Stegostoma tigrinum: one gene and its partner. The protein of the gene in region 1 interacts with the protein of each later gene in a pairwise test. Links are inferred from orthologs where the notes say so. Each region holds a gene or a part of one and is shown on either strand. Other genes may lie near its edges. The genes, in order: inactive ubiquitin carboxyl-terminal hydrolase 54-like and atxn1l.

The links.
Region 2: the proteins of inactive ubiquitin carboxyl-terminal hydrolase 54-like (region 1) and atxn1l interact in binary tests that used the Homo sapiens proteins (3 or more experiments, as listed by UniProt). The link is inferred for Stegostoma tigrinum from reciprocal best matches to the Homo sapiens genes USP54 and ATXN1L.

The regions. Positions count from the first base shown.
Region 1 is NC_081390.1:26,507,249-26,523,897, forward strand, and holds the start of inactive ubiquitin carboxyl-terminal hydrolase 54-like, read right to left. Parts: upstream 6,229-16,649; 5' UTR 6,094-6,228; intron 5,817-6,093; exon of another isoform or gene 5,800-5,816; intron 1-5,799.
Region 2 is NC_081369.1:40,875,428-40,891,817, forward strand, and holds the start of atxn1l (ataxin-1-like), read right to left. Parts: upstream 6,921-16,390; 5' UTR 6,766-6,920; intron 1-6,765. Other genes in the region: RNA-binding protein NOB1, read left to right, coding at 9,003-9,071, 12,088-12,220, 14,474-14,607. UniProt on the Homo sapiens protein: Chromatin-binding factor that repress Notch signaling in the absence of Notch intracellular domain by acting as a CBF1 corepressor. Binds to the HEY promoter and might assist, along with NCOR2, RBPJ-mediated repression.

The DNA of each region.
Region 1 (16,649 bases):
ATCTCTTAGAAGAAGTGTCGCACATACGTCTTAAAAAAACAAATCAAATAATTATTGGCACTGTAAACCGAACAGCAATTCACTGCAATTAGCTTAGTTGGCGCGTTACAAATATAAATTGCTGTAGTTTATATTTATAAAGTTTAAACAATAAACAGTAGCAACAAAAAACTCATTACTCTTCAAGTTCACATTTACCAATTCAGCACAGGAAGAACACGTGAGACACCTCTCATTTTTGTGACACGAACAACTGCATTTCCTGCCACCAGTGTTAATCCTACTACTATATGCAAAGCCCACCCTTCAAAATTCATAAACAGTGTGAAATAGTTCAAGATGATAAAGTTCTGGATGTGAGTTTGCTCGCTGAGCTGGAAGGTTAGTTTTCAGACGTTTCGTCACCATTCGAGGTAACATCAGTGAGCCTCCGACGAAGCGCTGGTGTTATGTCCTGCTTTCTATTTATCTGGTTAGGTTTCCTTGGGTTGGTGATGTCATTTCCTGTTCTTTTTCTCAGGGGATGGTAGATTGGCTCCAAGTCAATGTGTTTGTTGATGGAATTCCGGTTGGAATGCCATGCTTCTAGGAATTCTCGTGCATGTCTGTGTTTGGCTTGTCCTAGGATGGATGTGTTGTCCCAATCAAAGTGGTGTCCTTCCTTATCTGTATGTAAGGATACGAGTAATAGTGGGTCATGTCGTTCTGTGGCTAGTTGATGTTCATGTATCCTGGTGGCTAGCTTCCTGCCAGTTTGTCCAATGCAGTGTTTGTCACAGTTCTTGCAAGGTATTTTGTAGATGACGTTCGTTTTATTTGTTGTCTGTATAGGGTCTTTTAAGTTCATTAGCTGCTGTTTTAGTGTGTTGGTGGGTTTGTGGGCTACCCTGATGCCAAGGGGTCTGAGTAGTCTGGCAGTCATTTCGGAAATGTCTTTGATGTAGGAGAGCAGCAGCAGCTAATGAACTTAAAAGACCCTATACAGACAACAAATAAAATGAACGTCATCTACAAAATACCTTGCAAGAACTGTGACAAACACTGCATTGGACAAACTGGCAGGAAGCTAGCCACCAGGATACATGAACATCAACTAGCCACAGAACGACATGACCCACTATCACTCGTATCCTTACATACAGATAAGGAAGGACACCACTTTGATTGGGACAACACATCCATCCTAGGACAAGCCAAACAGAGACATGCACGAGAATTCCTAGAAGCATGGCATTCCAACCGGAATTCCATCAACAAACACATTGACTCCAAATCAATCTACCATCCCCTGAGAAAAAGAACAGGAAATGACATCACCAACCCAAGGAAACCTAACCAGATAAATAGAAAGCGGGACATTACACCAGCGCTTCGTCGGAGGCTCACTGATGATGTTACCTAGAATGGTGACGAAACGTCTGAAAACTAACCTTCCAGCTCAGCAAGCAAACTCACATCCAGAACCTCAACCTGAGCTACAAATCTTCTCAAAACTCGCTAGATTATAAAGTATTAAAGAAAAACGTGTTAACTACCTGAATTTTTCGTTGTTACGTAAAGCAAATTAGTTAACCATAATATTATTGTAAAAGTCAAAAAGCTTTTCTTTATCTTTGTCTCCAAACAAGCCTTTCAGTACGCACAAGTGAAAAGAATCTTCATTTTAGTATCGTTATGTGACTTTATCACATTTATTCCTTCCTCACACTTGTACTTTCAGGTTCTGCAGCAAAACTAGATTACATCTGCTGACTTGGCCTCAAGATGCAATCCACTAAAGCCCAATGACATAAGGAACATAATTCCTAAAACCATTTGGATAAATTGAGAATTAAAAATATATTGATTTGTTACAGTATCAACCTGAGCAACTTACAGCTATTATTAATTGCAGTTATATCAATATTGGGGGCCTGCAATTTCAGAGTGAATTTTATAAATTTAGAGCAAAAATTCAACAATCATTTCTCAAAATCTCTTTCAGCATTGACAAGCATGACAAGGGCAATATTCTTCTCTGGGTCATGCATTAAGATTGTCAGAATGAAGTTAACAGAATTCATGACACCACCAGCATGAGCAACACAGTTCTCCATCATCCTGTCTAACCTTAGACACAAAGAAAAATGAGTTAACTGGTGCTAAATTTCCTTGCTGATTCTGAGACATTTCACAAATATAGAAACTTGCTTGGGTTTTGTTGGAATGTTAGCTTAAGATGCAAAGTATCAAGTATTAACCACAGAATATCTTTGAAATAAAACTTGTAAAAAGCTATATGAAGGTGTAATACTCTGCAGCAATATCCAAAAGATACAATATCACCGTTGTAATAAGCTGCCATTTAAAATCTTTTACATCATGCAAATTTGTAAGCAATCCAAAGTATGTAACATCCATTATAAGATTATTCTGATGAAAAATTAAAGCAGAATCACAGCAAATAATTTCAACAAGGATTTCTAAGTCTCTCCAAAGTATGATTTGAATTCCTTAGCGTGTTTCCACAGTCATTCCTTGAAGCATCAGATGGTACCCTGGTATTATTGATTTTATATTTGGAGCAAATACGTGGTACACTTTCAAAACAAAAGCACGTGGTACGCAAGTTATCAATGAATTCAAAACATGAACATTAGCACTGACCAGATTTAAAAGTCAGGATCATAGTACAAAATAGTCATTATGCAGTAGCTCAGCTCTGAAGTCGCTTGACTCCCAAGAAGTTACATAATCCACATTTCTATATAATTCTCAAAAATACACGCCTCTCAAAGTTTTGTCAAAATTGCTACAATATCTCAGCTTTTCACTTCTTCGCCTCCACCACAGCTTCAGGCTCTTTGGCCTGCCTTGCAAGCAACTGCTATGATCCAAACAATTCTGTGCTTCCTACATCATGCCAATATTTAATATAAAATGAAAGCATTATAAGAATAAGGACAAAACACAGGCCCAAAGCATAAACTGAATTACAGATGCCTAACTCTAATCCCAACTGTTCCCTGGCCTCTAAATCAACTTCACCCCAAGACTACATTTTGTCTTCCATCCATGTAATGCAATAGATCAACTGGTCTTCAAGGTAATCATATTTTGACTTGTTTCAACAAAAACACCATTAAAATCTCAGCATTTTTAGACTCCACACCTAGTACTCCCAAATCCTGTTACATTCTGGAGTTTCTGATGATTATTAGTCCAAAACAAGGAGTAGTCACTAGTGGATGACATGAAACAAAACTTCTATAAAAATTTTAAAGCTATTTTTTAAAATGGAGATTTACATATTTATGAACAAGAAAGGCAAATACTACAGAAGCTGAAAATCTGAAATAAAGAATAAAATGCTGAAAAGCCAGGCATCTGCAGAGAAAGCTGCCCAGCTCTCATTTCAGGACAGTAACTTCATAGAACATAGACATGGAACATTACAGCACAGTACAGGCCCTTCGGCCCTCGATGTTGTGCCGACCTGTCATACCGATCTCAAGCCCATCTAACCTACACTATTCCATGTACGTCCATATGCTTATCCAATGACGACTTAAATGTACCTAAAGTCGGCGAATCTACTACCGTTGCAGGCAAAGCGTTCCATTCCCTTACTACTCTCTGAGCAAAGAAACTACCTCTGACATCTGTCTTATATCTTTCACCCCTCAATTTAAAGCTATGCCCCCTCGTGCTCGCCGTCACCATCCTAGGAAAAAGGCTCTCCCTATCCACCCTATCTAACCCTCTGATTATTTTATATGTCTCAATTAAGTCACCTCTCAACCTTCTTCTAGAACTGGAGATGTAATGAGATATTAACCAAGTACAGAAACAGGCACAGGGAAGACAGAGAAATAAATGCAAGGTTGGATTGCAGGTAAGATTAAATAATATCAGAGATAATGGGAACTGCAGATGCTGGAGATTCCAAGATAATAAAATGTGAGGCTGGATGAACACAGCAGGCCAAGCAGCATCTCAGGAGCACAAAAGCTGACGTTTCGGGCCTAGACCCTTCATCAGAGAGGGGGATGGGGGGAGGGAACTGGAATAAATAGGGAGAGAGGGGGAGGCGGACCGAAGATGGAGAGCAAAGAAGATAGGTGGAGAGGGTGTAGGTGGGGAGGTAGGGAGGGGATAGGTCAGTCCAGGGAAGACGGACAGGTCAAGGAGGTGGGATGAGGTTAGTAGGTAGCTGGGGGTGCGGCTGGGGGTGGGAGGAAGGGATGGGTGAGAGGAAGAACCGGTTAGGGAGGCAGAGACAGGCAGGAACAGCAACTCATATTCCGCCTGGGAACCCTGCAGCCATATGGTATCAATGTGGACTTCACCAGTTTCAAAATCTCCCCTTCCCCCACTGCATCCCTAAACCAGCCCAGTTCATCCCCTCCCCCCACTGCACCACACAACCAGCCCAGCTCTTCCCCCCCACCCACTGCATCCCAAAACCAGTCCAACCTGTCTCTGCCTCCCTAACCGGTTCTTCCTCTCACCCATCCCTTCCTCCCACCCCCAGCCGCACCCCCAGCTACCTACTAACCTCATCCCACCTCCTTGACCTGTCCGTCTTCCCTGGACTGACCTATCCCCTCCCTACCTCCCCACCTACACCCTCTCCACCTATCTTCTTTGCTCTCCATCTTCGGTCCGCCTCCCCCTCTCTCCCTATTTATTCCAGTTCCCTCCCCCCATCCCCCTCTCTGATGAAGGGTCTAGGCCCGAAACGTCAGCTTTTGTGCTCCTGAGATGCTGCTTGGCCTGCTGTGTTCATCCAGCCTCACATTTTATTATCTAAGATTAAATAATAAAATGGATGGCGGGACAAAGCAAAAGAAGAGAGTAATGGACCAAGTAAAGAATGTGTACAGATAAATTTAAAATAGCTTTGGCAGAAATACAACCAAATTGTTACCCCAAAAAGAACACAGGCAGTGGTTATCATCTGAGTTGCTAAATTCAATATTGAGTCTGGAAAACTATCAAGTGCCTGAGCGAAAAATTATTTTCTATTTCCCCCAAATTTATACGATGGGCAGGCACAAGTGCTGGATCACACTACACAGAGACATCCACAAAGTAATCAGTCTGGCTTTGATTTCATCACTTAATAGAGACTGCATTCTGAACAGTTAAAAGGAATATTCTAAATTAAAAAGAGAATAAGTTAATGACTGTACCTCCCAAATGGTATGGGAGTTCTGGATGGTAGGAAGAAAAAAAAACATAGGTGTTGAATTTCCTATAGGTACAAAAAAAATGCTTGGAATGGGCGTGTTGAGGATGACTTAGAAGTGGACTAGGTTCGCAAAGAGAATGGTCACTTCAAAATACTAAATTCAAGAGAAGGAAAGATGTGAACAGAGGAATAAAACCAATGTTTCATTCTTCCACAGCACTTCAGACTGATGACCAAAACTGGAATGGGATTTAAAGTTGCCACATCAGGGAGTTTTACGGGTCCTGTCTGGTTGCTTCAAACCAAACTCACAAAGCGGAAAAAGCCAACTGCTTCCTCAAATGCAGGTTCAGTGAGGAAATACATTAGACAGTAATTCACATTCCAACCAAGTTGTTGACATCTCCCTGACCATCAAGAACAGACCCAAATTGCTGCAGACCAACAATATATCATTGCCGCGTCAAATATGATCCCACTGGAGTCAGACCAGTAACTAAGAAGGGCATTGTTGTAATCTATTGCTTCACAAGTGACGGGTGAGTGAAAGGCATGCGGTGACTGGATTTGCAGGAGAGCTAACATCATCGATACAACATAGAATATACACTCTTATTTTCATTTACCATATGTTGCCGCTGAACATCTTTGTGGAAACCCTGCAACAACATCACGTAAGGCAAAAAGACAGACAAATTCTACGAAGGGAATGAAAGACTGCCAACTTTTGTAATGCTCTAAAAGCCAGTCAGCCGAGGTCAGGGGTCAATCCCACGGCCAAGGGTCAGAGCTCCACGCGACGGTCGTTAACGGTCATTCGGCTTGCGCTCCCGCCCCCACCCCCACCCCCACCCCGGCGGCGGGGTACTGCTAGAGGGCGATCCGGAAAGAAAATTTCAATCTGAAGTGAAATGTCCTACCTCGTGGCAGTTCATCCGCCGATAGGTCACTCACTCACTGTCTCTGCCCGCGCTTTCGCCCTCTGCACGGTCCTTCTCAGCCGCCCGCCCCCCCACTCACTCCCGGAGAGTCTCCCTCACTCCCTCCCGGAAAGAGGGTCCCTCCTTCACTCCCTCCCTCACTCCCTCCCTCCCGGAAAGAGGGTCCCTCCTTCACTCCCTCCCTACCTGCCGGAGAGAGAGTCCCTCCTTCCCTCCCTCCCTACCTGCCGGAGAGAGAGTCCCTCCTTCCCTCCCTCCCTACCTGCCGGAGAGAGAGTCCCTCCTTCACTCACTCACTCCCTCCCGGAGAGAGAGTCCCTCCTTCACTCACTCACTCCCTCCCGGAGACAGAGTCCCTCCTTCACTCACTCACTCACTCCCTCCCGGAGACAGAGTCCCTCCTTCACTCACTCACTCACTCCCTCCCGGAGACAGAGTCCCTCCTTCACTCACTCACTCACTCCCTCCCGGAGACAGAGTCCCTCCTTCACTCACTCACTCCCTCCCGGAGACAGAGTCCCTCCTTCACTCACTCACTCACTCACTCCCTCCCGGAGACAGAGTCCCTCCTTCACTCACTCACTCACTCACTCCCTCCCGGAGACAGAGTCCCTCCTTCACTCACTCACTCACTCACTCCCTCCCGGAGACAGAGTCCCTCCTTCACTCACTCACTCACTCACTCCCTCCCGGAGACAGAGTCCCTCCTTCACTCACTCACTCACTCACTCCCTCCCGGAGACAGAGTCCCTCCTTCACTCACTCACTCACTCACTCCCTCCCGGAGACAGAGTCCCTCCTTCACTCCCTCCCTGCCGGAGAGAGTCCCTCCTTCACTCACTCACTCCCTCCCTCACGGAAAGAGGGTCCCTCCTTCACTCCCTCCCTCCCGGAGAAAGTCCTTCCTTCACTCACTCCCTGCCGGAGAGTGTCCCTCCCTCAATCCTTGTCTGCCTGCCTGCGGGAATCTCAATGCCGGACGTTCTGTCTGCCTCAGTCTCACTCCCTCAATCCCAGTCTCCGTCTCTGTCCCTCTGGAGGTGAGTCACCATCTCACACCATCATCAAATAACGCGAGATGATCTGGAAGTCGTAGGAAACCGCTAATTCTCGCGAGAGGTGAGTACCTTGGTTCTAGATTTACCTTGGATGGGGGTGTGTTCAGGAGCATTGTGTAGATTGGCATGGGAGGATCAGTTTAATGGGTTTAGGTTTTGCTGAGTGGTATGATTTTAGGTTCAGTAGGAAAATGTAAATTGGTTTGAATGATGTGGAGTGAGAGCTACGTGTTGGACGTATGTGGTGCACAATTCAGTTGAGTCAAGATAACAAGGTGTAGAGCTGGACGAATACAGCATGCCAAGCAGCATCAGATGACCAGGAAGGCTGACGTTTTGGACCTAGACCCTTCTTCAGAAATGGGGGAAGGGAAGGGGATTCTGAAATAAATGAGAGAGGGGGAGATAGAGAGAACATGGATAAAGGATAAGATAGGGTGAGAGGAGACAGACAAGTCAAAGAGGCGGGGATGGAGCCAGTAAAGGTGAGTGTAGTTGGGGAGGTAGGGAGGAGATAGGTCAGTCCAGGGAGGATGGACAGGTCAAGGAGGCAGGATGAGGCTAGTCAGTAGGAGATTCAGGTGGGTCTTGAGGTCGGGGGTAACAGGTTAGGGTTGTGGGGGTGAGCTGGGCTGGTTTGGGGATGTGGTCGAGGGAGGGGAGATTTTGAAGCTTGTGAAATCCACATTGATACCCTTGGGCTGCAGGATTCCCAAGCGAAATATGAGGTGCTATTCCTGTAACTTCCGGGTGGCATTGTTATGGCACTGCAGGAAGCCCAGGATGTCGTCTGAGGAGTGGGAGGGGGAGTAGAAATGGTTCGTGACTGGGAGGTGCTGTTGTTTGTTGCGAAACAAGAGTAGGTGTTCCACAAAGCAGTCCCCAAGCTTCCGCTTGTTTTCCCCAATGTCGAAGAGGCCATTTCAGGAACAGCGGATACGGTATGCCATATTAGCCGATGTGCAGGTGAACATCTGTTTGCCTTGGGGCCTGGGATTGGGGTGAGGTGTAGCACTTCCTGCAGTTGCAGGGAAAAGTACCAGGGGTGGTGGGACTGGTGGGGAGTGTGGAGCGGACAAGGGAGTCACGGAGAGAGTGGTCAGTCCAGAAAGAGGATAAGGGTGGGGAGGGAAAAATGTCTTTGGTAGTGGTATCAGACTGCAGATGGTGGAAGTGCCGGAGGATAATGCCCTGGATTGAGAGGTTGGTGGGGTGGTACCTTAGGATGAGGGGGATCCTGTTTTGGTTGTTTTTGTGGGGCGAGAGTGTGAGGGATGAGTTGCGGGAGATGCAGTCAAGTGCGTCTTCGACCACTGTGGGGGGAAGTTGTGGTCCTGGAAAAATGAGGACATCTGGGATGTCCGGGAGTGGAATACTTCATCCCAGGAGCAGATGCAGCGGAGGCTAAGGAATTAGAAATAGGGGATGGCATTTATGCAGGAAGGTGGGTGGGCGGAGATGTATCCTAGGTAGCTGTGGGAGTCAGTAGGCTTGAAATGCGTATTGGTTTCCAGGTGGTTGCCAAGGATGGAAACAGAGAGGTCTAGGAAGGAGAGAGAGGAATCAGAGATGGTCCAGGTCAACTTAAGGTTGGGGTGGAAGGTGTTGGTGAAGTGGATGAACCAGCTCCCCACCCCCATCTCCTACTTACCAGCCTCATCCTGCCCCCTTGAACTGTCCATCCCCCCCTAGACTGAGCTAACTGCCTCCGCCCCCAACTCCACACCTCCACTAACCTTTACTGCCTCCATCCCTGTCTCTTTGACCTGTTTGTCTCCTCTCCACCTATCTTCTCCTTAATCCATCTATCTTCTCCTTTATCCATCTTCAATCCATCTCCCCCTCTCTCCCTATTTATTTCAGAATCCCCTTCCCCTCCCACATTTCTGGAGAAGGGTCTCAACCTGAAACGTCAGCCTTCCTGCTCCTCTGATGCTGCTTGGCCTGCTGTGTTCATCCAGCTATACACCTTGTTATCTCAGATTCTCCAGCATCTGCAGTTCCTCCTATCTCAGTTGAGTCCAGTCTGCAGAAGAGGATTGTAAACAATGAGGTATATTTGGTTGGTTGAGGAAGTATTGGTTTAGTTGACTGTGCATGGAATATGATCTGTAGAGTGGTGTAAGTTGGATAGGATGGAGCAAGGGATCTAATGATGTTATGTGGGGTGGGGCAGGGTATCAGCTGGTGTCAGCTTGGGTTGATTCAATTCATTAGGTTGAGTTGTGTTTGGTAGGGCTGGCTTGAGGTATTTTGTCTGATGTGTTGGGCTGTGTGCATTCAGTAGATTGATACCAAGTAGAAATGTAGAGCGAAGTGACACATGTCAAGGCAAGAACTGTGTTGGGCTGGATAGGGGTGTCAGGTCCAGTGGGAGTGTGAACTTCATAGAAGTGTGCAGTGTGGGAACAGCCCATTTGGCCCAACAAGTCCACACTGCCCCTCCAAACAGCTTCCTACCCAAACCCAACCCCCGACCCTTTACCTGTAACCCTGCAATTCCCATGTCTAATCCACACACTCCTGGACACTACAGGCTATTTAGCAGTTAATCCACCTAAACTGCACATCTTTGGACTGTGGAAGGAAACCGAAACACTGGCGAAAACCCAGGCAGACACAAGGAGAATGTGCAGACTCCACATAGAGGGTCACCCGAGGGTGGAATTGAACCCTCGTCCCAGGCACTATGAGGCAGTAGTGCGAACCACTGAGCTACCATGCCAACTAGTGTGGATTTGATTCGGTTAAGTGGGTTGTATTCAGTTGGGCAGGCAGAGTGTGGATTAGTTGGGATGAAGTACAAAAACCAAAATAACTGCAGATGCTGTAAATCTGAAACAAAAACAGAAGTTGCTGGAAAAAGCTTGGCAGGTCTGTCAGCACCTGTGGAGACAAATCAGATTAAATGTTTCAGGTCTGGTGATCCTTCCACTTGGAATGAAGTATGTTGGGTTGGGTGGCGGTGTATTGGTTGGGATGGCTTGGATACAGTGAGGGTGGATGGGTGGGTGGGTAGAGTTAGGTTGTTTTAGATTGCGTTCAATTTTTTTTTAAATTTGAGCACAGCAGGAGGTTTGTACTGGAAGCTCTGTAACTGCAGCAACAGACTGGACAGAAGAATGGAGTTCTGTTAACATGAACAACATTCAGACTGTTTTAGAAAAAAATCAGCTTGACCCTGAGTCGGAAAGTGGTATGTTGAAATCCAACTCCTAAAACTGGTACACTTAAATCTAGACTGACATTTTAAGTAATAACTTATTTATATTATTCGTTAAAGGGATCTGGTATCACTATCAAGGCCAACATTTATTATTCTTTCTTAACTGCCCTGTGAGAAGGTGATGGTGAGTGACCTTGTTGAACTGCTGCAGTCTTTGAGGGTATATCCACAATGCTGTTACAGAGGAAGTTCCAAGAATTTTACCCAATGACTTTGAAGTAATGTTATATAGTTCCAAGTCAAGGTTGTGTAGCTTAGAGCAAACTTGTAGATGGTGGTTTTTCCATATATCCATGTGCCTTGCGTTTAGTGAGGTTGGTTAATACATTTGGCTGGAGAGCTCATTTGTGATGTAGACTGCCCCTAATACCATGGGCTCGTTTTCTGTACTGGATGAGGTTACCATGAAAATACCACCTTCTCAACCACACGCCACGCCTGAGGCATGGTGATCCTCAGATTAAACTCACCACCAGTTGACTCTATCCATGAAGGAGCAGCTCGATGGTTCTCCAGGACTATGGCATCTTCATCATACTATCTGAATGGTATGAGTTTAGGTTTACAAGCTAGTGCTGAGGGCAGCTCCAGGGTGGCTTCAGTGTTTCTCTTAGATATCACGCTCACTAATGTCACTGTGCATCGGAGATGGAAGGATTGAATATTTATGGTAGTGTTCGGGGTGCCAATCAAACAAGTTGCTTTGTCCTCTATGATGTCAAGCTTCTTGAGATTTATTGGAGTTGCATTCATCCAGGCAAGTGGAGACGATACCATCACATTCCTGACTTGTGCCCTGTAGATATTGGACAGGCTTTGTTTACAGAGGCAAGAGGTATCTTGCCACAGAAATCTCACCTGAGGGAGTGCTGTAATGTTAAAGGTTCTGTCTTTCTAATAACACATTAATGTATCTCCCAGGTTGATATACCAATCCATGACACAATTTAAAGATGAGTAGGGGAGTTATCCTTTGAATCCTGACCAATATTTCTCCCTCAGTCAAAATCACAAAAATAATTTTATATGATCATATCATTGCTGTTTGTGAGAGTTTGCTGCTTACAGGTTGGCTGCTGTGTTTCCTTCGTTACGACAACGACCATGCTTCAGGAGTACCTTATTGGCTCCAGAGAAATTTGAAGCATTCTGACACCTTGAAAAGTGCAATATAAATACAATTTTCGTTCTATCTGGTTCACTAATGTCCTTTTGGAAGGGAAACCAGCCCACCTTTCTGATCTGGCTGACGTGACTCCAAAGTGATTGACTCTTAACTGCCCTCTGGCCAATTAGCAATGGGCAATAAATGTTGGTCCAGACAGCGACACCCACATCCCATGAATGAATTAAAAAGAAGTTGGGTTTTTCACTTCTTAAACTCTGTAAATAATTCTCATCAAATATCTACTGAGGGTGAGGAGCAGAATACACAGTGAATTACTTCATTGATCAAATTACCAGTTATTAGGTCTCATTGTGTTCCTATGAGACAATTCACCATATTGAAGTCACAGTTTTAACTACACATTTTTGTGCTAAGGTAATAAGCGTTTATTCATTGGTTGCTATTTATTTCCTGCATCCTTAAATCTATATTTGCCTTTATTATTGAGTAAATTAAAAGTTCTGCTTTAAAAAATACAAAACTGGCCCCAATTCTCTTCCATTCTCTGTCACCAAATCTTTATTTTTCAGCACAAAACAGATCCTCATTACGTTGCAATTGCTCTTTTACATTAATGTTTAGGCCAATTAATCTAATTTTGAATTATGGCAGCTTTTCATCAGTTGGAGTTATAGACAGTTGTCTGCATTCACACAATCAACATATCTGAGGAGTAAACTGACATGGTGTGATTTTGGCAGATGACAAGTTACTGCTTAAACAGAATTCAAGTTGCCTTAATGATTCAATAAATAAATGAATCATTTTGTGTAGCTACCGGTCAAAAATTCCAAGGTCTGATACTCCAGTTTTCAAGATGAATAACTGAATGAACCCTGACCATATAGATAACTGCTCTGTTGTTAGTTTGATAACGATAATGGATTGATGCATTGTAAATTTGGTCTGCGGAAGTAAAACAAAAGACTTTATTTATAGTGCCTTTCACAACCATAGAACATTACAAAATATTTTACGATCAATGATGTATATTTGAAATGCAGTCACGGTCATATTTTTTAAAATGCGATACTCGACTTATGGCCAGCGATATGCTCTGGCTGGCACATATAGACTGCGACTGATGAAGAGTCTGAGTGAGACAATAAACATACCAGGGTAAGAGATATTTAATGAGATATGCGATGGGGGAGTTGAGAGTGAATTCTTGTTAGACCTTCCAAAAAAAACCTAAAGATTGGCCTGCCACATTCATATGTCAGTTTCACAGCCGGGTGCAAAGTATCAGCAGCTGTAGCTGTGAGACAGCATAAGAAGTTCTAGGAACTTAAAAAAATGGTCAGGCAAAAAAGGTTAGATGGCCCCTGCAGCTGCTATTTCCAATGCCAAAGTCAGAATTCAAAACATGATATAGAGTATTTCCCATTTATAATAAAAGCAAAATAGTAAACGTTGGAAATCAGAAATAAAATCAAAATGCTGGAGAATCTCAGCAGGCCTGGAAGCATTTGTAGAGAGAGTAACAGAGTTAACATTTCAAGTCTGATACGACTTCTTCAGAGCTTTTCCTATGGTTCCCATATTTTTGCTCAACTTGAACAGAGACACCTATAGAGTCATATCTTCATACTGCATGCAAGCAGACCCTTCGGTCCAACTTGTCAGTGCCTACCAGATATTGCAATCTGACCTGGTCACATTTGCCAGCATTTGGTCCATATACCTCTCAAACTCTTTCAAATCTTATATCCATCCAGATACCTTTTAAATGATGTAATTGTACCTGCCTCCACTTATTCTGACAATTTGTTTGAGGTGCACACCATCCTCTGTGTGAAAAAGTCACCTTTTGGGTGTCCTCTCACCTTAAAACTATGCCCTCCAGTTATGGACTCCTCCACCAAAGACAATAGACCTGGCTATTCACTCTGTCCATGCCCCTCGTGATTTTATAAACCTCTATAAGGTCACCCTCAGCCTCCAACACTCAAGGGGGAAGAAAAAAGGCCCAGTCTATTCAACCTCCTTCTGAACTCAAACCCTCCAGTCCTGGCAACATGCTTGTAAATCTTCTCTGTACCCTGTCAAGTTTTACAACATTCTTCTAAAAGAAGGGTGACCAGAATTGCACGCAGTATTCCAAAAGTGCCTCACCAATGTCCTATGCAACTGCAACATAACGTCCCAACTCCTTTACTCAGTGTTTTACCCAGTGAAGGCAAGCATGCCAAATGCCGCCTTCACCACCCTGACTACTTGCAACTCCACTTTCAAGGAACTATGCACCTTCAAAGTTGCCACTGATTCTTTTATCAATCACATTGATAATGTGACTACTAATTAGTAACCCAACAGCAACTGAAAAACAGCTTCTCTATTTAATATATTTAACCCTGTGAGATTTTAAGGAGCTCTATCAAGCCTGCTGTCTGGTGTCAGCCATAGCTCAGTCAGTAGCACTCTCACCTCGTCACAAGATTTGGACTTGAACTAAAAACTCATGTCAATTCTGCCAGCCCAGACAGATGTAAAATATGCCATTTTGTGGTTGCTATTCCAAAACAGGGCAGTTGACCTTGGACTTTCTGGGACAAAATGGAAGAAGGCAGATCCTTGGAGATTCCAGCTTGTGCTTGAAAAAGCTTACCCTTCTACTTAATCTCTTTGAAGTCAGGCAAAGCCTAGGAGCAAATACAATTTGCCACCCCATCCACTTCAATTTCTTAAACAAATCTTAATTTTCAATTGCTGATACATCTATGTTGAAGTATATAACTTCTTTATTTTAAATTATGGATTAAGTTAAGCGTCTTCAGTCACCCACTATGGTTATCTTACTGGCAAACCCTGCATGTCAATTATTTGACTTGAGGATTGTTGCTGACTTAACTCTGTTTTTGGTTCTTCCCTTGAAAGACAAAAGGAATAATTGAAAGATTCCTCTTGAACTTGTGTTATTTCAGCATTGGCTGTCAAATTTGCATCTGCTACTATTGCAATTTGTTCACTAGGCCACATTGGTCAATGAACAATTTCATTTAAAAGTTGATCAGTGGACTTAAGTAGGTTATACTGCTTGCTCTTTTTCTCCTTCTCTGCACTTAGTTGCAAACTTTTCTGGTTTCTTTCATTTGAATTTTCTTCAGTAATAACTGAACTGATTTCCAGGCCTGATAATCCTGTGTCAACAAAGATTTTGCAATGAGATCTCTGACCATCACACCCCTGACTGAGGCCTGAGATCTTCCAATCCCTAAGTGTCCTTGATGTAAGCTTTCCAGGTTATCTTACTGAAGGGAACCTGAAATACTAGTCTTCTGTCATACACTATTAAGTCATCTCCTGATTGTGAAATGCTATTAGTACACAAAGTATGGATTCTTGGCTGACCCACTGGACTTTTCATCTGGCCATCTTTCAGCACAATACTTGTGAATGCTGTTATTTATGTTTCTACAGCTGTAGTATTTGATCTGATTAAGACAGTGACACTCCGTATCACCCACTATCAAGTTTAAAACGAATGAGATGTCCATTGATGTCGAGAACCTGTCAAACTCTAGTAAATCGGATTGCCAGTTTCCCCAAGTAACGCATTGGTTATCTTTTTCCAATCACATTAACATCTTTGTATAAGTAGCTGTTTAACATTTGCTGGTCTATGACGATGACCACTTCCTCACATCTGAAAGTGACCTATTATTTTACAGATTACAATTCAAGGTGATGTTATGAGTGCACAAGACAGATCCCAGAATTAAAGATAATAAAATGTGAGGCTGGATGAACACAGCAGGCCAAGCAGCATCTCAGGAGCACAAAAGCTGACGTTTCGGGCCTGGACCCTTCATCAGAGAGGGTCTGATGAAGGGTCCAGGCCCGAAACGTCAGCTTTTGTGCTCCTGAGATGCTGCTTGGCCTGCTGTGTTCATCCAGCCTCACATTTTATTATCTTGGAATTCTCCAGCATCTGCAGTTCCCATTATCTCCCTGAATTAAATCTGGCAGTCTTTCACTGAAACATAAACCCACAAGGCTACACATTTGGGTAATAAACTTCTTATTGTTAAACTAAAGATAGAAAAAACAATTTGGCTTGTTTTGTTCTGTCTAAATATATAACAGTTTGAAAGGTTTCAAATCACGCGGCAAAACAAAAACGCATCTGCTCCCCAGCACTAAATACATTTAAGAAATAAATAGATTTCTCAAGGGTAAGGATATCAACGGGTATGGAACATGCTGTTGAAATAAACAGTCAGGATAATGTTGAAAAGCGGTATGGGCTTAAAGGCTAACTGGTCTTTTTATGCTTACTTTCTGTATTTCCAAAGCTTTTAAGTTCGGTGGTATCTTACTGCTGTTTTAACATCTTTCCCGAGCAGATTCTTACAATTTCAATATCACTGCCAGTTTATGCCCTTCTCTTAAAGCTTTACGCACCATAAAATAGTGATGTTGTACCTAAGTACTACTAAGTGGTGTTTCCCTGTGAATTTGCAGTCAAAATGACGGTTTCCCACCTCCTGCAAGCAAAATGTTGTGATCACTTTTCTGTGGCAAAATGGACAATTTCCTACCTTTCAAGACCTAATAAACAATGCTTGCACTTTCGCCCGACAACTTTCCCAAATCAAGCCTAGTGCCTTTAGCCTTAATAAACTCTTTCTGCCTGAAGTGTAGTTTTAAATTAAAGACCTCCTGCTGTTATCACAACCTGAATAACCTTCTTACAATCTTATGTTATATTGTGCTTCAGATGAATTTCAACTTCAGATTGGATTGTCTTGCTGTCACCATCCTCCTTCCTTGACTGGGTCTCAGGGCCTAGTGATTTAGAGTGCTAGTGGAAAGTCAGTAGTGAATTGTAACAAGGAAAGGTTCTTATCTTGAAGGAGGTTTTAGTGTATTGCATCATTAGAACAAGTGATGCTCAACATAGCTTCAATGTTAACCCTTTCTAAACTATTACCTTCTACAACAATCACAAAGATGATTTAGGCCTCTGAGTTGACAAGGTGAGGAGCTGGGTGAACACAGCAGGCCAAGCAGCATCAGAGGAGCAGGAAACCTGATGTTTCGGGTCGAGACCCTTCTTCAGAAATGGGGGAGGGGAAGGGGA
Region 2 (16,390 bases), on another chromosome or scaffold:
ACAAAATAAAAGAGACTATTGCAAATGAAGATATGTACAATTCAAAGACAGGCACTTGAAATAAGCTACTTCGATCCACATATTGTTGTGTTTGCCTCTGTACCATGCACTAACAATTAACATCATGTTACTGCTGGAGAAGAAAACACTACCGCAGTTTATAAATAATAGCAAACTGAAGCAACAGGCAAACATTTATCGTCCATCCTTAACTGCCGTCGAGAGATCAAAAGTAGTCACAAGTATTTTTAAAAATTAAACACTTTATAGTTTAATTGAAAAAAAAATAACATTGTACTTATGTGGCACTAAATCACAGAAAGGTCAATCACTCCTGAGCTAATGTCAACTCAGGTGCCAGTGGCGAAGCTGGTTTTGGCCTCCCATGAATTGTCAATCATGGTGACCACTGTCCTGTGAGCATTCATGAAAATAAATGTGGGTGAATAGGACCTGAGGGGATGCATCCTAGGATATTAAAGAAAGTGGTTACACGGAGTGGATGCGCTGACAGTAATATTCAAAGAATCCTTTGATTCTGGAAAGGTTCCAAAGGTTTGGAAACTCCCAATGTAGCACTTTTGTTTAAAAAGTGGGGGCGAGAAAACAGGTAACTATGGGCCAGTTAGTTTAACGTCTGTTATGGGAAAATGTTAGAGTCTATTATAAAGGATGTAAAGCAGAGCATTTAGAAATATGGAAAAAGATACTTAATAAGATAATAGCATATAGTGTTGAATGTAATATATCAGCATAGATACAGGATTGGCTAACTAATAGAACAGAGTTAGGAAAAGGGAGAATTTGTAAGATTATGCACTTTGGCAGGCTGAGAAATGGAGCTAAATATTAATTAAGTAGAGAAAGCTACAGAACAGAGGGATTTGGGACTCCTCATGCTTGAATCAGAAAAAGCTTACATCAAAAGTTTGGTGGGTAATTAGGAAGACAAATAGAACATTGACCTTTATTTCAAAGGGAATGGAGTATAAAAGTAGAAAAGATAAATCTATATAATGCACTAATCAGACCATAGCGTGAATACTGTAAATACCTTTTGGTCCCTTATCGGAGGACAGATTACTGGCATCAGAAGCAGTCTAGAGGAAGTTCGCTAGGCTGATACCAGGTATGGGGGGGGACCTGTTTTATGAGTGGAGTTGAATACATTTGGCCTTAACTAATTGGAACTTAAAAGAATGACAGATGACCTTTTTGAAACATATAATATTCTTAGGGGAATTGGCAGGGCCAATGTAGAGAAGTTGTTTCCTCTTGTGTGAGAATCTAGGGCCAGAGGGCATAATTTCAGTGTAAGTGGTTGCACATTTGAGAGATGAGGAACAATTTCTTCTCTTAGTTGGTAATGAATCTGTGAAATTCTTTACTTCAGAGGACTGGTTTATTAAGTATATTCAAGGCCAAGATAGGCAGATTTCTAATCAGAAAGAGAATCGAGGGTTATAGGGAAAAGCCACAGTCTCACTGAATGTCAGAGCAGTTATTTCTACTCATGTCTTATGGTCTTATTAGGAAAAGAAAGAATAAGGTTGGATACATATCATTTATGATAAAGATATTTTGCCAACAATTCCAATCCATCTTTCTTTTTCTGTGGAAATGTGCTAATTTTTATTTATATCCCAACATTTGAGTGATCGGAAACCGTTCAAATGACGATCCGAGTAGTCCTACTTCAGTATTACACAAACTTACAGAAGCTGCCATTAACTCTCCAACCATGCAATTCCATAGAAGGTCTAGTTTAATTCAGATCAACAGTAACGTCGTCTAGCAGGCAATTCTAGTGGCTAACTTGCTTCCCACATCACAGCCTGTTGGAAGTGTGATCCTGAATACTTCATGAATGTACTGTCTTTGTTTTGGACATTTTCAAGGTCTACCATTGGGTCTATCATAAGGGATTTCTTTAAAGGTTAGTATCACGGTAGATGTGTATCACATTTAATTTGTCCTGAATCTCTACATATACTATGGTCTAATCTGTGTCTGCAAATTGAGGGTCCCCAAGACTATATTCTCTCTCTTATCCTATCCCTTTAAATAATGACTCCTCAATCCATATACAGTTATATCTAGTATAATTCCACTTTACCTTCATTAACTGCTTTAAGCTTTTATGCTCTCATTAATCAATGTAATTAATGATTTTTTAAAATTCCTTATCACTTCTATGCACTACATGCAACAATTAGACGCAAATTCTGGGCAGCACAGTGGCACAGTAGTTAGCACTGCTGCCTCACAGTGCCAGGGACCAAGGTTTGTTTCCAGCCTTGGGTGACTATGCATGGATGCTGTGATTGGTTCACTTGCCGAGCTGGTTCATTAGTTTGCAGATGTTTCATTATCGTGCTGGGTAACATCTTCAGTGCAGCCTCCGATGACCTGCTGTTGTACTTTTCCGCCTGGTATTTAAACTCGAGGCTTTTGGAGTTGATTACCTCATTTCTGGTTTTTCTTCACAGTGGTGTATATATAGGGTCTAATTCTACATGTTTATTGATGGCCTCCTTGGTTTGGATGGAGTTTGCGCATTGTCTCCATGTGTGCACAGGTTTCCACAGGTGGATGCTACGGTTTCCTCCCACAGTCCAAAGATGTGCAGGTTAGGTGGACTGGTCATGCTAAGTTGTCCCACTGTGTCCAGGGATGTGTTGGCTTGGCCATGGTACATGCAGGATTATGGGACGGGGAGTTGACTCTGAGTGGGACACTCTTCAGAGGGTTGGTGCAGACTTGATAGCCTCTATCCACACTGTAGGGATTATATGATTTTTCAGTATCTCAAAGGCAGTTCCACCAAGTCTCCAAAAAGTCTAGTTTCTTAGCTTTATGAGCTATGCATTTTTCCCCTAAGCACAAAAACATCAATCCCTGATCCTTGCAACTGAAAGCAAGCTAATGCTCTTCAATGTTTACGCTGTCTGACTGTAAGGCTCTCCCATTGCAAACAAATTTAAATTAACATTCCACGAATTTGCTCTCTCATACTAATTTTTGTTTTGAAAGAGAGCATGGCTCGAGAAATAGTGACAAGTTAGTCATAAATTATTAAACTGCTTCACAAACTCAGACCCCAAATTTTTTCTCATTTTTTCCTTCAGTCAGTAATGTCATTAAATTAATGGCACAAAAAGGACCAGAATGATTGAAGAGGAAAGAGATCATTTCAAACTAAGAGCTCACTAAATTTCAGATGACAGTTCTTTACAATGTGAAGTACTACTACTTCAAAATCTAAATAAAACAAATGACAATAAAACATATACAAATCACTCAGCTTACATGACACTGGATACATTCAGAGTTTCTGTGGAAATTGGAAGAACTGACAGAAGAGTCCTTTGGTGAGTGGATGTGTTGCAGAGGACCGAACAGCAACTGAGCCCCATTTCAACAGGGCTAGACATAAACTTGGTTAATTACAGACAAGTTAACCTAATGAAGACAGGAAAAGAAGGCAACAAGAAGAGTACAATACTGGCTCATGAGGGAACTGTTGCCTTGATGGAAAATAAAATGCAGAAAAGCTTGAAATATTGGACCTGCTTTCATCAGAATAGAGAAACTGTAGAGGTTTGATGGAGATATTTAAATAAAATCAAACAGAGAAGGGTTGACAGTCCTTCAAGAAAGCTATCAGTCACCCTGAACTGATCTGCAATAGTTCCAGTCCGATACAACATGACTGATACTTAATCTTCTCAACAACCATGGACAGTCGAGAAATTGCAGCCTTGCTGCCAACATCCACATCCCAAGAACCAATATAAAATGAAATAGATAAAACTACACTGCAAATCTGAGTTAGTAGAAACTGCAGATGCTGGAGTCAGAGATAACACAGTGTGGAACTGGAGGAACACCGCAGGCCAGGCAGCATCAGCGGAGCAGGAAAGTTGACGTTCCGGGTCGGGACCCTTCTTCAGAAATTTCTGAAGATTCTGGCCTGCTGCGTTCCTCCAGCTCCACACTGGGAATCTGGAATGAGAAATCATAAATACAGGATTAAATGCAGAGATGTAGAAAAGGGCCACAGATATTTTTCTTTTGTATTCTAAGTTTATGCAATGTACCAGAGTTTGCATTTAAAGTAGAAACTGTGTTGACTTAAAGGATTAGGTTTGGTCTACTTTTGGATGTAAGTGAGGATAATAAAAGGCTATGGGAATGGAACAATCAAATGGGATTAGGAGCACTCATGTGAAAGATTGGCACATGGCTAAAATGTCTTTGTCAGCATCATATTTTCTACCTAATGGAACAAAAGGAGTTTGTCTTTAAAGAGCACATAAAGGCAGTAAAACACACTGAGATACACAGCAATACTATTAAACAAAATTGGATAATCAGTCACATAAAGAAATTTAAGAATGGATGAAGAGTACGTTTTCAAGAGTATCTTAGAGTATTCAATAGATGGAGAGAGAAGGAAAAGTTTTTTTTTCCCCTTACATGGAATGTAGGCATTGCTGGCATTTGTTACCCATTCCTAATTGTGTGGCTTGCTACGTCATTTCAAAGGACACTTAGAAGTCAACCACATTACGGTGGGTCAGGAACTACATCCAGGCCAGACCAGGTAAGGACCCAGAATTCCTACCATTCGTGGGAGGTCGCTCATGAACCAGATTTAGTTCCATGGCAATCAGCAATGGTTACATGGTTACCATGAACATAAGAAATATGTTCAGAAGTAGGCCATTTGGCATGTGAAACCTGCTCTGCAACTCAATTGGCTCATGGTTGATTCAACATTTCTTACATGCACTTTCCTGTCCTTAACCCAGAACCATTGATTGTCCTACTGATCAAGAAGCAATATGCCAGAATCTAGGGCCTGGGCAACTGAAAGCAAAGGCCACCAGTGGTGAAGCGGTTAAAATCAGGGATGTGCAGGAGATCTTAAGAAGGTTGTTAGAAGTTATAAGGATGGAAAAGAAAGATATGCATCTGTACGGCACCTTTAGTGGGATGTTTCAAAGCATTTGACAGACAATTAAGTACTTTTTTTAAAAATGTAATCATGTTTGTAACGTAGGAAACATGACAATCAGTATGCACTGAAACTGCCACAAACACCAATTTGATAATCACCAAATAACCTGCTTTCCATTAATTTGACAGTGATAACTATTAACCACGACAACAGAGAAAACTCTCCTGCATGTCTTTGAAATAGGTTCATGGGATCTTTCACATTCACCAAAGCAGCAAATGGGGGATTCGGTTTAACATCTCATCTGAAAGTAAGCATCTCCAACAGTGCAATGCTCCTTCAGTATTGCACTGGATTGTCAGCATAGATTTTCACGTTCAAGCACTGGAATGGCACTGGAGCCCAGAACACTGTGATTCAGAGGTGAGTGCACTGCTAGATAAGCCACAGCTGACAAATAAGAATGGAGAGTGAGTGTTATAATGATAATTAAAACAAGGATTAGAGTTGTAAAATTAAATGTTTCTGGATCAGGATGTGTGAACATGAGACACTGTTAGGAAATACGCCCAGATTTTTGGTGAGGGTAGAACATGGGATGTTAGATGGGTGATAATTGGAATAAATAACTGTAAAGGTAACAAAGCAAAGAATGAACATCCGAACAATAGATTAACTGGTGCAGGGGTAGAGATAGGTGATGTTAAAAAGGTGAAAGTATGTAGTCTTGTTGATGAAACATATATGTAGTCAGAAACTTATCTTGGGGTTTAAAATATAACAGTAAGGTTGTTAATAAGATACTTGCTATCGAGAGAGATGGAGTTGGTAGAAGATTCCAACGGTAACGGATGTTGGAAAAGCACTGTGTCAAATTAAACAGAGTGAAGGGATCAGGAAGGGCAGTGCTGAATATTGTTAATATTTATATGATATCTAAAGTATGTTTTCAGATGAAGCCATCAAGTTGTAGCACGTAGATGAGAAATTGGAGGATAACCAAGGGTATATCCCTGACAGACTGCAGAGATAATGGATGGGAATGATAGGAAGTTATTGCTCTGGAATTTTATTGTTCCCTAAGAGATTGAAATGTGCTGCATTACACATGATGAAATCAAGAAAAATGCTGTAGCTTCCTAATCTGAGTTATTCTTTCCAACTACTCCACTTTAAGACTATAAGGCACCTGGTTCACTCCTGTTCTGCAAATGTCATGTTTTTAAAGACATAGTTATGGTGCACAGAACTCGACTCACTTCAGCTGTCCACTGGTACAAGTGACCAAATATGTTAGGCTAAGCTGTAAGCGTCAGTTAGCTTTTCATCAAATTCAAGTCCTGAGAAGTTATCAATATGCATGCATTGTCAAAAAGGCAGATTAAATTTTCTCTCCATGTTCTGAGGCCAACGATGGTGCCCTCCTAGAAACAGTTCAGTTTAGCACAAACCAGAAAACAAGCATGGTACCCGCCTGGCTTTTATAACACAAAACTACCCCGTCCAGCGTCCCCAGAAACAAAGTAATCAGGAGATCATTGCGGGTGACGTCCATGAAATGATGATGATATTGTCAGTACCATTCAGAGAAAAATCACAACACTCAAACCAATTTATTTATGCAGTGTACTAAAAGAATGACCATCCACTATCGTCTCACCTTAACTAAAAAAGCAGCATTTCTCAAATTTAAAAGTAAAACCACTGTCAGGCCCAGCAGGAAACTAGATTCTTCCTACAGGTTGCTAAACTTCAGCAAAATAGGCTGAGAGATCCCATTCTTTAGTTGATCTTTCTTTTACCTGCAAACTTCATCCTGATTCCAGCAGTTTCCGCGAATTCGTGGGCTTTTCCCTTTCCGGCAAGTCTTACATTTCCTCTCACCTGAAGATTAGAAACTCAACAGCAAAAAAAACTTTACAGCGACAGACACCACAGCGCAGGCTGATGGCGTCACTCAAAGCGTCCGATCCGAGGCCAGTGGCCGCGGTCTTCCACTGACAGCGCCCCCTCTAGACGGGAGGGCTGCTCGGGAACGACAGACTGTTACCGAGCCTTTAACTGGTGGAGGGGAACTCACCCCATCGCAAATAAAAACAGAAAGTGTTGGAGAAACTCAGCAGGCCTGGCAGCCTGGAGAGGTAGACGAACAGAGTTAACAGTCCGAAATTACTCTTTTTCAGAACTTCGGGTTAACCTGTTTCCTTCGGCTTGCTGCAGTGTTCCGGTGAATCACAGCGCAAACTGGAGGAACAACATCCCATCTACAGATTAAGTACTTTATAGTGTCCGGATTTAATCTTGAGTTCAACACCTTCAAATTGTGAATCAATTCCCATTTCAACCCGTTCTTTTGGCTTTACTTGTTACACTCTCCCATTCCTTCACTTTATTTTCGCTTTACATGTAACATTCTCTAATATCCTGTCCTCCCTGTCTCCCCTCCGCCCACCCCAGTGGGACTGCCTGCTCTTTCAAGTCTGGCAGTTAGACACACCGTTGTTCTGCCATTCTCCCATTCGAATTACTCAATCTGAACTATCTACATCCTTTCTGCACCAGCACTCTACATCACCACCAACTATATCGTAAATGTTTTGCTCCCTTCACGCCGCTTCAGTTCTGATGAAGTCATCCAAACGTTAGCTGGCTCTTTCTCTCTACATGAATGCTGTCTGACACGCTGTGATCTCCAGCAGTTTTTTTTAGTACAGATTCCAGTATCTGCAGTCATTTGCTCCCTCCCCACAGATGCTACCTGACCCGCTGAGTTTCTCCAGCAGTTTGTTTTGTAATTCAAATTTCCAGCATCCACTTTTTTTTCATTTAAGAATTATTTGTAGAATTAGACCAGTGCCGCAAAAGGTGCTCAGTAAATAGTGAAGCAAAGATTTCGTTTGCTTCACTATTAGTCCAATGATCTGTCAGAACTGAAAAAAGTAAGAAATGTAGCAAATTGTGGGCAACCAAAGAGATGGCCAAAAAGCCAGATGCCACCTAGAATTTTTTGTTTGCTTCACTTAAAACATTTCAAATAAACCATTTCCCCTGCAATGCATTGTTCACTCCTCAGTCCAACATCCTCTACCCTTCCTGTAGCATTTTTGGGCAGCAGTTGCGATACCTGTCCTTTTAAATTCTTAATACACCAACTGTTCTCCAGCAGAAGTACTGATATACTTGTTTTTATTTCATTCTAATATTCGCATTACCACTCCCTTAACTGGCCTCGCACCGTGAAACGTTTTGCCATTAAATTTTCCACTTTCCACTTACACAGAATTCTGCCTTTGTACTTTTCTCCACCGCCTCGTTTCACTTTTTTACTACTACATCTCAATTTTTACCCAATTTCAATGAAAGACGAGCAACCTGTAATTTCAATTCTCTCTCCAGACATGCTGTCAGATTTAAGTTTTTCCTTTTCTGTGTTTTATTTCACGAATCACAAATTCGTTTTCCTAGAGATGAAAGATGACTAGGTATTGGAATATTTGGTCTGGGTTCAATGCCGATTTAAATAAATAAATGTGCTGTCAAAATACTTTCAGAAGAAGCATTGAAGATTTTGGTATATTTATAATTCCGATCAATTAAACAAAGAAATATTTTGCATTTTCAATTAAATTTCCTTGGCACCAAAACTATTTATAAATCATTTTGGAAACTGTTCATGTTCTTTTGTCAAGTGAAAAGGAAACGTAGATTAGCAAAGTTTCCTTCGACATGAGGTACTAGGAACTGCAGATGCTGGAGAATCTGAGATAAGAAGATGTAGAGCTGGATGAACATCTAAGCCCGAAACGTCAATCTTCCTGTTTCTCGGCCTATTGTTTTCATGCAGCTCTACACCTTGTTATCCTTTCCTTCAACGTGGTCAGCTTTGCCGATTTAAAATAAATACATGCGCCAACAACAATAAACCAATGTTACGCTGCTGTGTTGCCCAGGCTTGTTGCTTTGACCAATGAACAGGTAGTTTACTGATGAGTATAGTTTGAGTAATGCTGTAGTTGATTGGGCAGTGTTAGAAGGGAAGATGGCGGTGTGTACGGTGGAGCATGTTGTGGCGGATGCTGGGGCTTTCTTAAAGAACGCGCCACTCCAGGTCGGTGATCCGTGTCTATGGGCTTTTGTGGACAGGGTAGCACAAATCTGCGGTTTTGTTTTGTATTTGTTCTCGGGCCTTGGGTGTGGGACTAGTACTGACTGAACTCAGTCTTTTCCCATCTTTTGCAACCTCCCCACATAGTTACAATGTAAACGTTCCGAAACATTCACTGTAGCAATTCTGGTCTAAACACGTGTCCGTTAATATTATGAAAACGTGGGCAAGCGAGTATAAAGGCCAAAAAAAGGATTTGAGAAACAAAAACTTTCTTTCTGACAGCCCTCGAAACAGGTGACGATTTCCCAACGACTGGAGTTGTATATGAGCGTAACTTGGTCCTTTTACTTGTACACTTTGCTGAGTTTCATAAATGATCAGCCTGGTGTCAGATATAGGCGACAATCCATTATGGATCTCAAATTACTGATTAATTTATTATCATTGTCTCTACCTATCTCTCTCTCTCTCTCTCTCCCCCTCCCTCCCTCTCCCCCTTCCCCCACTCTCCCCCCCCCCCCACAAAAACAAACACACACACACAAAATTTTGTGGTGATTTTGCATTTGCAGATACAGTCTATTTTGTTGAAAAAGCACACAATTTGTAATCAGTCAATGTGGCATTTACAAATTCCTACTTTGGAAATAAAACAGTCTGACTCCAAGTTGATGCACAGCCAGATTCTAAGCAAAGCCTCACACCTAAAATGCATTGTTTGACCTGAGATGTCACCTTTATATACTGATAAAACCTTTAGCTATCTCAGGGCAGTGACTTGAAAGAAATTCTGGAATTTGCATATTAATCCTTTCTAATTGATAAATCTTCAATCTGAGGTTTGTTCAATACGTTTGTGTCAGTCCTATGACCTTTTGATCTTTTGCTTATAAATTCTGTGTTTGATGCCAGCTCTTACTGACACCTGAAGAAGGAGCAAGACTCCGAAAGCTTATATCTTCAGGTAAACTTGTTGGACTATAACCTGGTATCTTGTGATTTTTGACCTTGTCCACCCTAGTCCAATGCTGGCAACTCCACATAATAACTGATTAGTCATTGCTGAAAATTGCCACGAAGTATTCTGGTATCAGGTGAAAGAGGTTGTCAAAAAAGATATTTACTTTATATCTTCTACTGCCAGATATTATTTTGTAGTTCCAGATGAAGTTATTGACAGTTTATTTTTATTCTAGCTTGACTTCACATCACCTCATTTTGTTTGAAATACAAATTTCCATTTAAGTTTTAGATTTTATCTTCACATTGTGCTGACTTCACCTGATGTACAGTTCATTTTTGCCAGGCTAATTTCACCTCATGAATGGTAGCTTTTCATCTGGGTGGCCCTGACACCAAGTTTTGGCAAATGATTCAGCTGAGGATCAGAATTGATCCCAGTTCGTCCACACACCCTTGCTCATTGGCTAATGTGGCTGCAGCCTTTGGTCACATTCAGGCTGGATGTCTGGATCTATGCAGATAAGTGAAACAGAGCATTCAACTTTTGCCACGATAATAAATCTATTGATTCTATGATTCACATCATCAAACATGAAACAGCAGAAAGAAAACTAACTTGTATTTTGTAAGTTAGACCTCTGTCAAATTAAGTTTTGAGGTTAAGATGAGACACATGACAACCTTAATGTTGTCACCCAGGCTGTAAGATGAAACTTTTCTTTACCCCTTTGCTTGTAAACACTGAGGCAGTTTGTATCATCTTCACTCATGCACTGAAAATTAGTACATCCTAGATTCTGTCTCTAGGCATTGTAAAATATATTTAGTCATCAGGTTATTGAACAGTCAGGTGTTTACAAAGTAGAATTGTCCCTCAAGGTAGACATTGTTGAATCAACCTGTTTAAAGATGCTATTATCATACCTCTGTAGGAGGTTGGACTTGAATCCAGACCTCCTGGCACAGTGAATGTTGCTACACACTATGGATTGCAGTGGTTCAAGAAAGCAGCTCACTGCCAGCATATCCAGGCGATAAGCAATAAATGCTAGCCTAGCCAGTGACACCCATATCCCATGAGTGAATTTTAAAAAAAGACTTTTAAAAAATATGAAGTAATAGCTCAATTTCAAGTGAGAAAATAGCAATGCATTAATTCTGCATAATTTCCAAATGTATTTGAATATTGTGATTTATTGAAGTTATCTAATGTGAAACGGGACATAAATTGGGAGTAAATGTGTGAATGCAAGTACTGTTTGTTCATTTGCATGTGTTAAGACTGTACTTGTAATTTATTCATTCTCTACCTGTAAGAAAGGACAATGGAAAAAGACATTCTAACAAAAAAACGCAGTAAATACTAAACAAGTCTGGGAGGGTCTATGTAGAAAAGAACAGAGTTAATATTTCAAGTTGAATACTTTCATCAGAACTTGAATTTAAAAGGCACATGTCAAGAGAGTCAATAAATGTCAGATTTGATAAACCATAAAATTCAGTAAAACAAAACTAAGATAGAAGAAAGAGACGAATGGATGGTGAGGTGCCAAGAAGCAAATATGTTCTTAAAAAATGCTAAGTAGAAATATCTTGGCAAGAAATTGTAACTGCTTCAATTGTAAAGCATTTAACCATGTTCCATGTCTAACTTTGAAATAATCCATGTAGGCAAATGTGGACTTTAATTTGTTTCGAGCAAGGAAGCACAAATAGCAAAAGTGGTGAAACTGTGTTGAATAATAGTTGAAGGAGAAGAGATGGACATTGAGAAAACCCTTCTTTTTGCAGAGTTCCATGCGATCCCCAATGTCAGTCTGTATTCAGCTGTCCGTCTTAATGTTGCCTGCACTCATCCGCAACAAAGGGTATTTTAAGATGCATTCTAGGCTTTCTGCTTTTGATGGAACCATTTGGCAAAATAAATGAGATATTTAATGTTTCCTTTCAACATGAGCTAGGTGTTAACCAAATGAGCAATGTTTGATTTGTAAAACAAAATCAACAACATTGCTATTCTTTGCATTATACCTGTTAATCTTATTGACTTTAGGAATTTGGAAAAACCATCTACACGTTAAAGGAAGTTGTGAATGAAATACGAGACAAAGAAACTAAGCGAAGACTAGCAGTTTTACCATATCAACTCCATTTTAAAGAACCATTCCCTGAATATATTCGACATGGTGAGTTTTTTTGATCACTCCTCACCCCACCCACCAAAGTTGGGGGATATATTGTGTTAAAATAAATGATAAAACCTTCATTTCTTCTATAAAACTCATGTTAAGGCCTTTGCTTGTTTGATTTTATTTTAACAGAATTGATTTTGATAGTGAAGGAAGGAAAACTCTTGCATTATGTAATGCAAGTTGTTCTCATTTAATTGAAAGAAATTGCTGGAATACCTCAGCAGGACCTGCAGCATCTGTGGAGGGAAAGTAGAGTTAATGTTTTGTGTCCAGTCACCCTTCTTCTGTGGCCATTCTGAAAAGAAAATTGTTCCCTTGAGAAGTTGTTGGGGTACTTGTCTCTACTACTTATCATTAGGTACTAACCCCATACTGTTGTAGAGACATTGTGAGACCTTACAAAACCCAACAAATGACTCTAACCTCTTCTCACTGAATCATTACTGGAACTTGGATTATTAATTGGTAATGGAACCAAAACCAAACTAAATACTGTGTTGCAGACCAAACATCTAATACGTGCCTCAGTTAACTACAGATCTTAGTCTGCTCCCTTTGTCATTGAGACTGAACGCACATTGAAGGGCTTCAGGGATTTGTTGGTGCAGATGGTGCTAGAATTTGGAGATTTTTTCACCTAGATGGAAACTGATCAATCTTAAAAAACAGAGAACAAAATAACCAGTAAACACATTGTTAAATAGGAGCTGAAGTAGGCCAATTGACCTCTCGAGTCTGCTATGCCATTCACTGGAGCTCACATAGTGCACGAAGCTGGCTAGGAACAATCTCCATATTCCTTGACAACTTTAATTTAAGGAAATCTATCAATTTCTGTGTTGGACAGGCTCAGTGACTGAGCCTCGACAGCTCCTTGGGTCATATAATTCCAAAGGGAATCTTCTAATTCTTCCTCATCTTTGTCCTAGATAGCTTATCCCTTATTCTGAGACCCATCCCTGTAGGCAGGGGAAGCATCCTTATGTTTACCCAGACCCATTTGGGACATCTAAAAATTTTGTACATTTCAGCGAATTCACTTCAATTTGTCCTAGACCCTAGACAATATAGACCCAAGGACGGCTTGGTGGCTCAGTGGTTAGCACTGCCGCCTCACAGCGCCAGGGACCCGGGTTCGATTCCAGCCTCGGGTAACTGTCTGTGCAGAGTTTGCACGTTCTCCCCGTGTCTTCTTGGGCTTCCTCTGGGTGCTCCAGTTTCCTACCACAGTCCAAAGATGTGCAGGCTAGGTGGATCGGCCATGCTAAATTGCCCGTAGTGTTCAGGATTGTGTGGGTTATAGGGGGATGGGTCTGGGTGGAATGCTCCAAGGGTCGAAGGGCCTGTTTCCACACTTCAGGGAATCTAACCTAATCTACAGAAACTTCCTCAATCTCTCCCCATAGGGTAATCCCACTAACCTAGAATCAGTCTGATAAACAATAGCCTGGAAAATCTGTTGCTAGGAGGGTGGCTTCACGTAACGCTATAGGCCGGTATCCCAGTGGGTGGAGTGGAGAAGTACTTATGAAGGCAAAGGCCCCACAGACTATCCACTGGGCAAGCCTGCTCACCATTGCCAGACAGCACTAAACAATCCATCAGAATTAACAGGCAGAATGCTGCTACCTTTGAAATTCCAATGAGGTAATAGCTGACTCCAAGCTGTAAAGTATCAGCCTTAATCAGGACTCCACATTCGGCTTGTTCATTTTATTTATGTTCAACCCCATTGTTGCAAAATTGATCTCTCAGTTACATGTTGTAACAGTAGTATAGACTTTGCTTTTGAAACTGAACTCACACATCTTTCACTAATGCCATGTTGTACATGTGGGAAACAGTCTGGTTACATGGAAATCAGAATTTTGACCTGATCTCTTACATGGACTCAGCCCAAGGGTTGCATGTCAGCGACTTACATTTTAGACTCATTTTGCAGATCATCTGGGGGCTGCTCACAGACACACTTCAAGAACCTCTAGTTTAATGGAACTTAAAAATCCCAGATTTCTGTTTGGTGAAAGACCGGGAGTTCTCCCAGGGTTGTGAGCATCGAAGTCAGCAAAAGAGACAAATCAGTCTCGTTGCTGTTTGTGGAACCTTGCTGTGTAGAGATCAAATGGTACACTTGCTGACATACACTTAAAAACTAATCTATGGGCAGTCCTAAATTTTTGAAAGGTGTTGTACAAATACAAGTTCATTCATAAGATTCAAATATTATTTTTAAACATTTCTTCACAGTAACTGAGTTTTGTAAAAAGACAGGAGACTACCCTAGTCTCTCAGCAACTGATATTAAGGTTCTGGCACTAACCTATCAGCTCGAAGCTGAATTTGTGGGAATTGGCCACTTAAAGAACGAACCTGCACAAAATGTAAGTAATTTATCACATGAAAATTATTTGCTGATTCGCTGTCTATATTTCTTTCTATACAGTAAAAAATCTTGGACAGTGACAGCAGAAACTTTGCTATATTACAGAAAATGTAGAGCTGTGTACTGTAGTACATTTAAATGACTTCTGCAATAAAGATGCATAAAATACCTTCATATTTGGAATTTGGATTTTTAAAGTAGAGGCAAATGGCTTATGGCTTCAGTTCTGTGAAGACTCTCTTCCTTAAAAAAAATCAAAGTTGTTTAGAAAGATGACCAAATACATCAATTCCAAGAAAACATGTGATTCAAGTAGGTGCCTAACAGATTACTTCTGCTGTTAAGTTACATAGTATTTTTACTGCTAAATTCACCATATACAGTGAATACAGATCCATGGCCACGAATTATAGATTTTGACTTTAGTTTAGAAGAAGAATCAGAGATTCACTTTAAGTTTCTTCGCTGAACAATCAAGTTTTCAATTCAGGAGAACAGTCATCCTAGCAGAAGTGTTTTAGTTTTGGGGTGCCTCTAAACTGTGAGAGTTTCTACAGAAGTTTTCAAATTGTCAGAACTGGCAACACAACTCTTAAGTTGTAAGGTTATCTCAGCAGTCCAAGAAGAACTAGACAGAGTCTGTTAAGTAAGAATATAGAGTTTGGTAAAGCGTGATATTTCTCCAGGATTTGAGCATCCACAAAACACATATATTCCTGGGGAAACAGGTTGAAATTTCTTTTGTTTATGTTAAAGATCTTTCTCAACTGTCATATATAGCTTTGTCTTTTGTTTTTCTGTATGTGATAATCTTGCGTTCTTTGCATTCCTGTAGCCTTGTGTGAATAAACTTAACTAGCCACCAAAGCAGCTGACTATAGAGAATTAACTTATGATCTGTCAAGCCAAGTTTCACTTTGGGATCTGACTTATTCAGTATTACCATTAACTGAGATTATAAATATAAAACTGTTTCATTATGTACTGTTGATACTTGTTTTGAGAAGCAAGTACTGGTAGCACAAATAGATTTGGCAGAATGCTAAGCTTTGTTGCCCATATTTGAATGTAGCAAATGATTTGTAGATTCTAAAAATGATATCCTATATGAACACAATGAGCAGAAAAAGACCAGTTCATTTAATAAATTTTGCTCAATATTTCAAGTGGAAATCTAATATACAGGCATGCACAATCAATTTAAACACGTAAAATTCTCCTTCAGCCATTGCTGGAGTGTTAATCTAGAGACCTAGGTAATATTCTGGGGATTCTGATTCAAATCCTGCCAAAGTGGAGGGTACCATTTGAAGTCAGTAGAAATCTGGAAGACAAATAATGGCTGTTGTTAATTGTCAGAAATCCCACCTGGTTCTTAAAAGCCTTTACCAAAGGAAATCTGCTATCCGCACCAGATCTAGTCTGCATGTGACTCCAAACCCACAGTAATTGGCTTGACTGTTAACTGCCCCCTGGGAAATTAGGGAAGGGCATTAAAAGCTGTCCTGGCCAGTGATACCCACATTCTGTTAACACATTTTTAAAAATTAACATTAAGCCCAAAATTGAAGGTGTGAAACAGAAATATGGATTTAAGTTTCTTGTATACTTTGTATCAAATGATCACAGGTGAGAAAGGTACTGTGTTGATATCACAATGTCATTGGTGATATTCTCATTGGTTAAAAATTTGTGTCTTGTGTCCAATGTTTTACTTGTGCAACAGAAACGTTAGGTAGATGTACTTGCCAGTAAAATATACATAATCAGTATTTGAAAAT